Linked DNA regions of Cricetulus griseus. The protein of the gene in region 3 interacts with the protein of the main gene of each other region in a biochemical or structural test. Links are inferred from orthologs where the notes say so. Each region holds a gene or a part of one and is shown on either strand. Other genes may lie near its edges. The genes, in order: Sh2d1a, Inpp5d and Cd244.

What was found.
Region 1: the proteins of Cd244 (region 3) and Sh2d1a interact in a biophysical measurement, tested with the Homo sapiens proteins (2 studies listed by IntAct). The link is inferred for Cricetulus griseus from reciprocal best matches to the Homo sapiens genes CD244 and SH2D1A.
Region 2: the proteins of Cd244 (region 3) and Inpp5d interact in a biophysical measurement, tested with the Homo sapiens proteins (2 studies listed by IntAct). The link is inferred for Cricetulus griseus from reciprocal best matches to the Homo sapiens genes CD244 and INPP5D.

The regions. Positions count from the first base shown.
Region 1 is NC_048604.1:25,515,581-25,519,793, forward strand, and holds the start of Sh2d1a (SH2 domain-containing protein 1A), read right to left. Parts: upstream 2,853-4,213; coding exon 2,716-2,852; intron 1-2,715.
Region 2 is NC_048595.1:439,363,461-439,366,072, reverse strand, and holds part of Inpp5d (phosphatidylinositol 3,4,5-trisphosphate 5-phosphatase 1), read right to left. Parts: intron 2,014-2,612; coding exon 1,419-2,013; intron 1-1,418. UniProt on the Homo sapiens protein: Phosphatidylinositol (PtdIns) phosphatase that specifically hydrolyzes the 5-phosphate of phosphatidylinositol-3,4,5-trisphosphate (PtdIns(3,4,5)P3) to produce PtdIns(3,4)P2, thereby negatively regulating the PI3K (phosphoinositide 3-kinase) pathways.
Region 3 is NC_048598.1:21,241,948-21,246,098, reverse strand, and holds the start of Cd244 (natural killer cell receptor 2B4), read left to right. Parts: upstream 1-1,258; coding exon 1,259-1,346; intron 1,347-4,151. UniProt on the Homo sapiens protein: Heterophilic receptor of the signaling lymphocytic activation molecule (SLAM) family; its ligand is CD48.

The DNA.
Region 1 (4,213 bases), on a different chromosome or scaffold from region 3:
CAACATGTAAATTACAGCAAAATGTAGTGAAAGCATGTACATGTTCAAAAGTATTCATCTTATTAAAAAATAGAAGAAATTTTACTTAAAAGTTAATAGTAGTTGCCTATAAGTGATTTTTTTCCTTTGATTCCGTTATCTATGTTTTCATATTTTAATATCACAAATAAGTGTAAAGGACTATTTGGACAAATTATTTTAATTCTAATTACATTTAGAGAAAATAATTGGAAGAAAAGCTTTGTATTGTTGATGAAGAGTAGCAATTATATAAGTGGAAACCTTTTACAATGTTTGAAGCATTCTGTTTTTTAAGAACCTAACAGGAGAAAAGGCCCTGTCTGAGGACCACGGCTGGGATTTCATCTGGGAAAGAGGAATATATAGTTGGAAAGTACAATTGGAAACATACAGTTAAAATCGAGTAAACTGAAGTTGAAGCAAGCTTTCTTGGTTAATGGGAATAAACAAAAGATAGAACAAAGTGGCACTGAGTTAACTGCAAGTATTGCATGTTTGTTCAAACACATATGATTCTATTTATTCCTACTCTGTATCATACAACCCAGTATTTTGAATTAAGTGTGCATAGTTTGTTCCAAAATAACATTTTGCGAGTACCACGGAGTGCCAGTAAGAGAGAATGAAATATGTATGTGTATCAAAAGGGACACCCAGCTCCAAAATAACTAAAGAACTAATCAAAGGCAAAGAATCTTGACTCTTCCCTCCACAGTAGCCTGGTCATAACTCGGGAAAAACCATATGACAGGAGGAGAATTCTCTACTTCTCTATTTTCATGGGAAAATTAGTCAACAACAACAACAAAACCTTGCATTTACGCAGCATTCACCTTCAGTGAAAACTAAAATGATGAGAAATTCCTTACATGGTCCTGACCTACCTGCCTAAAAACCTAAGAATTCCTCCCTTCAGGTTTTTACTTACAGCAATCTTTTTAACAGAAAAGAAACAGATTTCTGTTTTACATATATGGAAGATGAAATGCCCAGAGAATCTGAGTGACTCCCTAGAGCCCAAACCCTGGCCTCTTGTCAGCCCAAGGCTCTTTGTAGTAGAGTACAATATGCCTTAACAGTTCATTCAGTTACTTACAAATCGTTTGCTGAGTGCCCATTATATACCAGGGAATGTTTCTGGTACTGGGGACAATATTTGTTCCTTCATGAAGGTATTTTTGTGGTAGAACACATACATAAGTAAACAAGCTAGCAGAAAGTTTAAAGGTCCTTGAATAAAAATAGTGGGATAGCAACACGGACAAATGTTAGAATAATCAAGGGGTGAAGATTGAACAGAAGGTGTAAAATCCTGAGTGGAGCAGGCATGGTGACCTTCAGGAACAAAGGTGGTCTATAAAGTAGAAGTCTTGGGTATACTGTCTCCAGCTCTCTCCCCCCTATTCAGGCTTCATTTGAACCTTCATTTTTGCCTTTAGTTTAAGGAGCATGCTACTTGACCCGCTGCTAAGTCAAAGCAGCTCATTTCATTCACCATCCTCCATCTTCTGACAAGAAAAAAATCAAACCAAGGATCTTCATTGGCTTTTCTTGTCCTTCCTAAGGTTCCACTTGAGAACGTAAAGGTCCAAGCCCAAGGCTGATGTCTAGCTCAGTGCAAAAGCAATTTCCAGTAGACATAAAATCCTGGGTTCTGTCCCCAACACTGAAAAATTACTTTTCCACATATTTAACTTTAAGCCTTTATGATAAATGTATTTAACCTGATCTGAAAACTGCCACAAATAAGACTTGGCCATTTAAAAAAAAAAAACCAATATACAATGGCAATCCTCTCACATCATCCATAATTTAATCTTTATTTTCTGTCCCAGAAAGTACTTCAAAATTTTGTAGTGTATCATCATGTCCAGAACACATTACAAAGCATTTTCCTTTGTTTCGTTTTTATGTAGACTCTACTGTGCTAGAGTGAAGATTTTGTGAGTTTTTTTTTACCCTGCTTTCAGTAATGCTTGAGCTAGGTCCTTTTGCAGAAATGCCTCCATGAGTACTGAAATAAATTGTTGTCCAAAAAGACAATAATAATAAACTAAAGCCAATAGCTTACAGAACATTTGCTCAGTGCCAAGCCCAGAGTGTACTTGTTTTTAAAAGCGTGGATTTACTTCATCTTTACAGTCCCTTTAATAAATAAGAAAACTCAAGGACTAAGAGATTGATTTGCTGAGACAACAAGCTTAGAGGCTGACTATAGTAGGATTCGATCTCAGATCTGCTTGGCCGGGGAGGTAGAGAGCCGAGATGCAGCTCCATCTAGTTCAAAATGGAACAAGAGGCTGGAAACAGTCCAGACAAAGAGCAAAGAGGAATTGTTACATTCCACGTTTTTAAACTCCTTGGCCTCTCTTATAAAGGAAGGCATCTCAGCAGCTCCAGAAAATCCTCACTCTAGTACAGGAGAGGCTGCCACAAACACACTGGTGAGACACAGTAGATGAAATCCCCAGTAAGCATCCTATACCCAAGTACTACCCAAAACAGCCTTGAGCTGGGTCTGGGGAAGCCTTGGCACCAGGCATGAGAGATGAAGAATACTCAAGAGTCCCTGATGCTGTCTGTGTCCCTGACTACCTTAACTAAAAGCTGTAACCCTGTGCCCCCTGCTTCCAGGCCTCCCCAGCGGGTAAAGGCAGGCGTGCTACCAGACTGCCACTACCACAAGGTACTCACAAAACACACAAGCAGTACACGCCAGGAACACTCTCACTGTCTCTTAGCAGATAGCTTCCATCCAGCCCCGTGGCGAGCAAGAGCTTCTCCCCAGTCTCCCTGCTGATTTTGCCATGGTACACAGTCACTGCATCCATGCCTGGTGGACTCTTGTACAGGCCCAGAGGAAGACGGTGAAAGGGAAATGCTGCTGCTGCCTTTGCTGCTGCGGTGGTTACCAGTCACAATCAGCCACCTGACTCCCAGGGCAGCCAGGATGAAAAAAAGATGAGCGCCCCAACAACAGGATGTTGTCTACCTGCCTTAAAACCTCTTCTCACACTTCAATTAAGGCCAGCTCAGCAGTTTAGCAGCTTCAAACTCGTCGTGGGGTTTGATCACCTGCTCCTCCTTGTTGGTGAGGGGGAACACTGGAAAGGTGAACACTTGTAGTATTTGAGAGATGAAGAGTACTCATCTCCGGCAGACCTTGCACAAAGATGAGAAATTTGGTGATGCTTTTGTTCTTGTGTAGTCCCTGCAACCTGCAGAGCCATCAGCGATGACTTGCCTTAACCAGTGTACAAAAGAATCAGTGATAGAGGTGGCATCATAAGGGGCAGAAACAGACTGACAAAAGAAACGCATAAAGACACTGGGACAACAAAATCATGACAGAACACGCTCATGAGGCTTCCACAGCACCTCCAAGTATTTGTGAACTGTGTGTATTTGGGACTAGATCTTCCTGAACTAGCTTCCTTTTCTTCAATGCTAATAATGGAATGAATCCAGGGCCTCACAGATGAACCCTTCTACCACTAAGCTATATGCCTAATCCTTGAATAAGCATAGGCTCAAGCAAATATTAATTTTTAACTTAATATTGTGTTCAAGATCCAAAAGTATCAGCTCAGTCACACAAAAAAAAAACCATAATTGTGCTAAAAAAAACTATTCCAGATTGATCTAGCTGAAGAGTTTAAGAAGAGCACATCCTTTTATTGGTGCTTCTTAGTTTTCTTTAATTCCTGAGATTATAATTACGACATTTCTTCCTTCACTTTTCACCCTTGAAACCCTTCCAAATATCCCTCCCTGCTCTTACTGCATGCATATACATATATACATATGTAATACATATGCATATACATACGTAATTCCTAATTACAACCTGTTGAATCTCTATAATGCTATTTATATCTATGTTTTCAGGGCTAACAGCCATTTGGCACTGGACAACCAATCGGTGCACTCTTTCCTGGGGGAGACCACTTCCTACCCCCAACTCAGTTGCCTGTAGTTCTTTGTATAGGGCTACAGCCTTGTAGTCTTTTTCTAGCCAGTTTGGCATATACATTGGTTTTGTATGTGAAATTCGATTTGCCCTTTGGTGAATGGGGCTAGGCCCAAATCATTTGGGACTTAAAACTCATATTTGTGGTTGTGAGTCTAGCCTTTAACGGCTGAGCCATCTCTCCAGCCCTTGAACATAAAACTCATTTTATATTATTGTGCA
Region 2 (2,612 bases), on a different chromosome or scaffold from region 3:
ATGAAACACGAGTGATAACTGTGAAAATGAAAATGAGGTAACAGTGTATGGCAGCAATCTATTGCTCCACAGAAATCCATTAATATCATCTTTTTACAGATTAAGAAGGCAAAGAACTGGGCAGTGGAGACTTGGGATTTAAATCTGACACAGAACTGCAACACAGCATTTGTCTATTGTGTAAGACCCTGAGTTTGACCCTCAATACTGCAATAAAATACAATAATAGGTCAGGTGTGTTGGCAGAAGCCTTTAATCCCAGTACTCGGGAGGCAGAGGCAGGTGGATTTTTGAGTTCAAGGCCAGCCTGGTCTACTGAGCAAGTTCCACGACAGCCAGGACTACACAGAGAAACCCTGTCTCAAAAAACAAGAAACCAAAACCAAAATAATAACAACAATACAATAACAGAACAGACAGCAGTCTGGCTCTAGAGTTCACTTCTCTTGTGGTACTGTGGACTCAGCCGAAGGCTTCATGGAGGCTTCGGGTATATTCCACTACTGAGCTACAACCTTAACATCCAGAATGCTGCCGCTGATTCTTCTTAAGCCAGTGTCTTGCTATACAGCCCAGGCTGACCTTGAACACCCGGTCCTCCTGCATTAGACTTTCAGAGTGCTAGGATTATAGGGGTCTACTACTGTCTTCAGCTTCAACTGTGATTTTTCTTTAAATTGTTGTTAGCTTTGCTGTAGAATAAACAGACTCGATTGGAAGGGGATATTCTGCCTGAAGTTTCTAAAAATACCAGGAATGTTTTAAACTATATATTAAGGATGATAAAACTGGGCTGGAGAGATGGCTCAGCAGTTAAGAGCACTGACTGGTTTTCCAGAGGTCCTGAGTTCAGTTCCCAGCTACCTTTTGGTGACTCACAACCATCTGTAGTGAGATCTGGTGCCCTCTTCTGGCCTCCAGGGGTACATGCAGGCAGAACACTGTATACATAATAAATAATCTTTTAAAAAAGGATAAAACTTGGGCTGGAGAGATGGTTCAGAGGTTGAGAGCACTGGCTGTTCTTCCAGAGGTCCTGAGTTCAGTTCCCAGCAACCACATGGTGGCTCACAACCACTGTAATAATGAGATCTGGTGCCCTCTTCTGGTGTGCAGATATACATGGAAGCAGAATGTTGTATACATAATAAATAAATAAATAAAACCTTTAAAAAAAAGGATAAAACTAAATTATAAATGACCGAAATCCCGGTATTTTACAGAGCTAGGTGTTTATCCACAGCTCCTCCCCCTGTCCCTCTCAAGAATCATTTGCAGATGCCGTGTAGGACCAATCAGGGGCACAGAGGTGCCAGGTTCAAACCCCAAGTTCAGCCCTTCCTCAGAGTACTTCCCAGGACACTCACTCACACCACAGACACACAGGCATGCACGCAGGAACATATGAATCAGCGCACCTGCATGGCAGTCCTGCCAAGTAGCCCCTCCTCGTGGCGGTGCTTGCCGTGGTGGGGGAGCTCCGAGTTGTCTCGGTAGTCTCGGCCTTTGGAATGCTGCAGTTGCAGGACTGCAGGGCTCTTGACTGGCAGAGGCGGCCGTGGAGCTGGGATGGGCGTCGTCTGTTGGCTCATTTCGGACCTGGAAGGCTTGATAGGCCTCTTGACTGGCACCGGTGCTTGGGAACCAGCTGAGGCTTTGGACTTGCCTTGGTTTTTGTCCCCACTGGGCATTCTTCCCTCAGCAGAGGAGGAACAGGTAAAAGAGCGCATCCGGGGTGTGGGGCCAAAGACAGGCACGGGGACCTGTTTACTTGTCCCCTTGACACCCTCCACCTCTTGGGCTTTGGGGAGCAGTATGCTGGGTGGTGAGATTCCTGGGTCTGGACAGGGCGGGGGTTCCTTCCGCAGCATCTTGGGAGACTCCTGCTCTTTCCTGGGCACCAGCTTAGGGAAGGAACTCACAGATCCATACAGGGGGTTCTCAAACATCTCCGGCTTGGTCAGCTGCAGGTCTTCCTGTAACAGAGCTTCTACTTTGCCCAGGTCACTGGGTCTGGAACCATGGAGAGGAGGAGAGGAGAGTGGGGAGAAAACACATTCAGAAGTCAGGACCTGGGGAGTAGATGCTTCATGCCTCTGGGCTTTCACTTAGGGATGATAATGTTCTGTAACTATAGTGGCGTTGGTATAACATGTAATATACCAAATTGTTCATTTTCCAGGGGATAATTTTACACGAATTTAACCTGATATACACATTTTTTCAACACAGGGTCTCACAATGTACCTCTGGCTGATGTATATCTGCCCCTCTATCTGCTGAGCCTTGGGATAAAAGACTACGACAGGCTAAAGGTCTAGTCCCACCAAGCTCTGTTCGCAGTGTGAAGCATGCGGTGACGTCTACCCTGGGAACCTCTCAGGATGACACCACGAACTTCCATTTTCTTTGTTGCTGTTTCTAGCTTTGCTTCCTGGGGTTACTGAAGAGATTGGTTTTGTCAAATGAGCAAACACCTCAGTACCTACTGGATGGAGTCCTTGGTCCTAATCCCAGGGAGGGTTACTGAGGCTACCTTTAGACCTGGCTAGGTTCAGGGACATGCCTCCCCGCTGCTCCCCCCTTTCAGGGAGTTCAGGTAAGGCACAGGA
Region 3 (4,151 bases):
TTGCAGATTGCTTTCCCACAGACTGCAGCTATTGAGATTAACAAAACCTGTCTCCTTGTTCACCTGCATAGAATAACCCCATCTCTTTGTTTATCTGTATGTAATAACCCAACATCATTGGTCCACTGTATGCAAAAACTCTACCTCCCTATTCAGCCCCATAAAATAAACACACCACACGTCATGGGTGCTGAGGCTTTTCCAGCAGAGGGCACAGTGCACATAGTCCCAGCTTTTCCTTATCGCTCCTAGCCAGGGTCCTGGGACCTAAGCCCTGCAAAGATGTGGCAGGCAAAGTCTTCTTTTTTTTCTGAGGAGTGAAAAGTCCAAGAGATGATCATGCGCACGTCACACACACACACACACACACACACACACACACACACACACACACACACACACACACCACACACACGGAGAAGCAGAAGAACTTTTGTAACCCTTTTGAGAAATAGCGACTAAAAGACACCAGCTGCTTGTTAAAATCTTCGTCATGATGCTGAGGTTTCGGTATGGTTTGCATGTGTTCCCCATATATTCATATTTCTGGAGCCAGTGTGCTGAGAGGTGATGGGGCCAATAGAAGGAAGGGCCTAGTGGGAGGTGCTTTGGTTATGTGGGGGAGCTCCACACAGAACAGATTAAAGTACATCTCTTTGACCGGGTATAGTGGCTTACGCCTGTAATCCCAGCACTTGGGAAGCTGACACAGAGGATCACTGTGGGTTTGACATCAGCTGGGCTACATAAAGAATTCCAGAATATATAGAATAAAACCTTGTCTCAAAAAAAAAAAAACAATACAAAATGAAAACAGCAACGGAAAAACAGTCCTTCTCATGGGACCTCTGAACTGTTACCAGAATGTACCTGACTTTTGAGTAGTTCTCCGGCTTTCTTTTCAGTGGTGTGACTGCTTATTCCTGTGAGCCTCCTGCCACTGTGCTATCCTGACAGAACACAGACAGTATGGATAGTTCTAGAAATAAAGACAATTAGTTTTCTCTTAGTGTTGTGACACAGTAATTATGTGTTTAATTCTTTAGAAACTGGCTGAAGTCACCCCTAAAACCAGGAGGGTCCCCTTTGAAAGACTCATCCTTAATTGCTTGAATAACTTTTTCTTTTGAGATGTACAGAAAAGGATTAACATTGCTCAAAGAAAGGCCTGGCCTTTCCCCTGGGCTTTTAGGAGGTGATTTCTAAGCCTTGGAATATGGCTGACTAAGAGTGTCTTCATTTAGCACAACCTTGGACCATGACAGTCTGTGCCAACAAAGTGATTTACTGTGGAGGACTTGGTCCACTTAGCATCAGATCAACCTCGGAAGCGGTCAGAGAGCAAGGTCAGCTGTGTGCGTGATGAGCCTGGATGTATATGACCAAGTACAGAGTCTAGACACAGCTCACAAGCTTTCCTGGTGGCAATACTCCATATATATTGTCACACCCAATTTTTAGAGTTAAGTCATTTTTTGTAAAAAAAAATAATTTCTGTCATTTATTTTATATTGTTTAATGACTTTAAAAATCAGTAACTTTAATTATGGTATTAAATCATACTGTTACTGAAAAGGCATTTGGTTGAAGTTAACATCGTTTTGGGGACAATTTTGTACATATGTGCAAGGTACTGTAACCATGTTTTGAGAGGTAAGCTCTGTTTGCTTACGTCACTTTGGAGCTTCCCCCAGACCTTGCTCTATGTTGCTTTCCCTTGTTTCATTTTGGTCTGTATTTTTATTTGCAACACGAACCAGCTGAAAGTAGCTTTTAATGGATTCTTTGAGTTTTTCTACCGAATTAACAAACTTCAAGGTGGTCTTGGGGCTCCGAAGTTTGCAAAGTGTCTTGGGAGGTGGGATTTCCGAGGCCGACCCCACTCACTCACTGCGAAATAGTGAAAGCTTAATGTGGGGGAGGAAGGTGACAGTGGGGCTGGAGGAACCTGTGACCTCGTGTTGGCGGCTGGTTTTCAAAACCCTGATTTGAGCCTCTGTCCCAGACTTCCAGAGACCTGGGGAAGCCTCTGAGTTTATGTGAATTTTGCAGGGCCTTGAATCTTTGTAATAAAGTGGCTAAACTACACAGAAGCTCAAGATGTGGCAGGGTAAAGTATAACTAACCATCATGAGGGGAGAGACTAAGGTGGAACAGCTTACCGTTGTATCTCACTGGGGATGGAAAAGCCGTCTCCTCCATCTTCTCCTTTTCCTCCTCCTCCTTCTTTGATTTTTTTTTTTATTTAAATTAGAAACAAGCTTCTTTTACATGTCAGTCTCAGTTCCCTCTCCCTCCCCTCCTCTCCCGCCCCCTCCCACTCACCCCCTTTCTGCTCCCCAGGGAGGGGGAGGCCTTCTGTGGGGGAATCTTTTAAAGTTTGTCATATCATGGGAAAGCCTTCTTTAGGGAGTTCATTCATCCCTTCAGGACTGAATCATCTTTACCCACCTGGAAAGATGCAGGCTCTAGGAATACTTAGCTAAGGTTGCATTTTTCTTGAAGCTCTCAGGGCAGGACAGGACAGTGTGTATAAAAAAATAGCAACGCTATGTGGTAGAACTTGTTAGGAACGTAAGAAAGACGAATACGGCACTTCTTCCAGTTCAGTCTCCAGGGGCTGGTAGGTCGTCTATGGCTTTGGAGAAGAGGATGGGGCTGTACTGGGGCCAGGATTGGTGAAGCCGATTTTCCTGTCTTGAGACAATGTCTTGCTGATATAGCCCTGCCTGCCTGTTACTCAGTGAGTCCCAAGGAGGCCTCTGATTCAAGACAATGTCCTGCCTCCTCTTCCAGGGTAAAGCAGCTTTTAAATTCACTGTTGTTCATTGCTTCCAAAAGTCAGACCTTGCCTTCCATCTGTTATGTGAGGAAATTCACTCTGTTGCATTACTTTGTTTTTGACTTTGAGACAGGGTTTCACTGTGTAACCCTGGCTGTTCAGGACCTCACTCTGTAGACCTCGACTCACAGAGATCTGCCTGCTTCTGCCTCCTGGGTGCTGGGAATAAAGGCCTGAGCCACCACTACATCTTGAACACTACTACTCAAAGTCAGGGATGCTGGCAGATAACCGTGAGGGAGCTCCAGGGGTCGAGGGCTGTCTTAAGAGGATCAGGGATAATTATTATATCCAGGAAAAAGCAAAGCAGGCTGATGGTGAAGAAGCAAACCCTCACTGAAGTGCTTGGGTATTGAAACACCACACACTGGGTAGTTCATACATTTGTCTCTTTAGGTTTGAAAGCTGGACACTCAAAGATCAGGATGCCCTCATAGTCAGGTTCTGGGAAGGCTTTTGTGGGGGCATGCAGACTCTTAACATTTTGTCCTCTCGTGGTAGAAAGAATGGGAAATAAGCAGGATTCTTGGAGCCTGTGGGGTCCCCTGACCCACTTTTTAAATAAGAACATTAATTCCATTCATGAGCGCTCTTGATCACTTCCCCTAACATTCCACTTTCTAATACCAACATACTGATTAGGTCTCAATATTTGAATTAGAATGGTGGGACACAAACATTCACATTTATTTAAAATAATAACAACCAAAGTAATGGGTTTATTATGGCATTTAAAAAGATTTATTTATTTTATGTGTATGAGAGCTCTATATGAGAGCTCTATCTGCATGTATGCCTTGATTCCAGAAAAGGTCATCAGATCCAGACTAAAAATGGTCATGAGCCATCTCATGTTTGCTTGGAATTGAACTCAGTTCTGGAAGAGCAGCCAGTGCTCTTAACTGCTGAGCCATCTCTCCAGCTCCCTTATTACACATTTTTATACATGTGTGTACCAGAGTTTTACATACACACTCTCAGGGATAACTTTTAATTTGATTCTGAAAACTATCCTAAAGGACACTCAAGTATTCAAGCATTGCTGATCTTTAAGAAAACCCACACATTTATTTATGGGTGTGCTCACCTACATTTTGGGTACTTGTGGAGGCCAATTCTCTTTCATCACGTGGATCCTCGGGATCACATTCAGGTCATCAGGCTTGAGGACAAGTACCTTAACCTACTGAGCCATTTCTCCCACCCAAGCACTGTTGATCTCAGGACTCAGAAAGTAATTTGCTCAGCGTCACACGGGTAGTAAGTTGATGAGTTGGAGTTCAAGTCCAGATGTTTGACTCCAAATTGG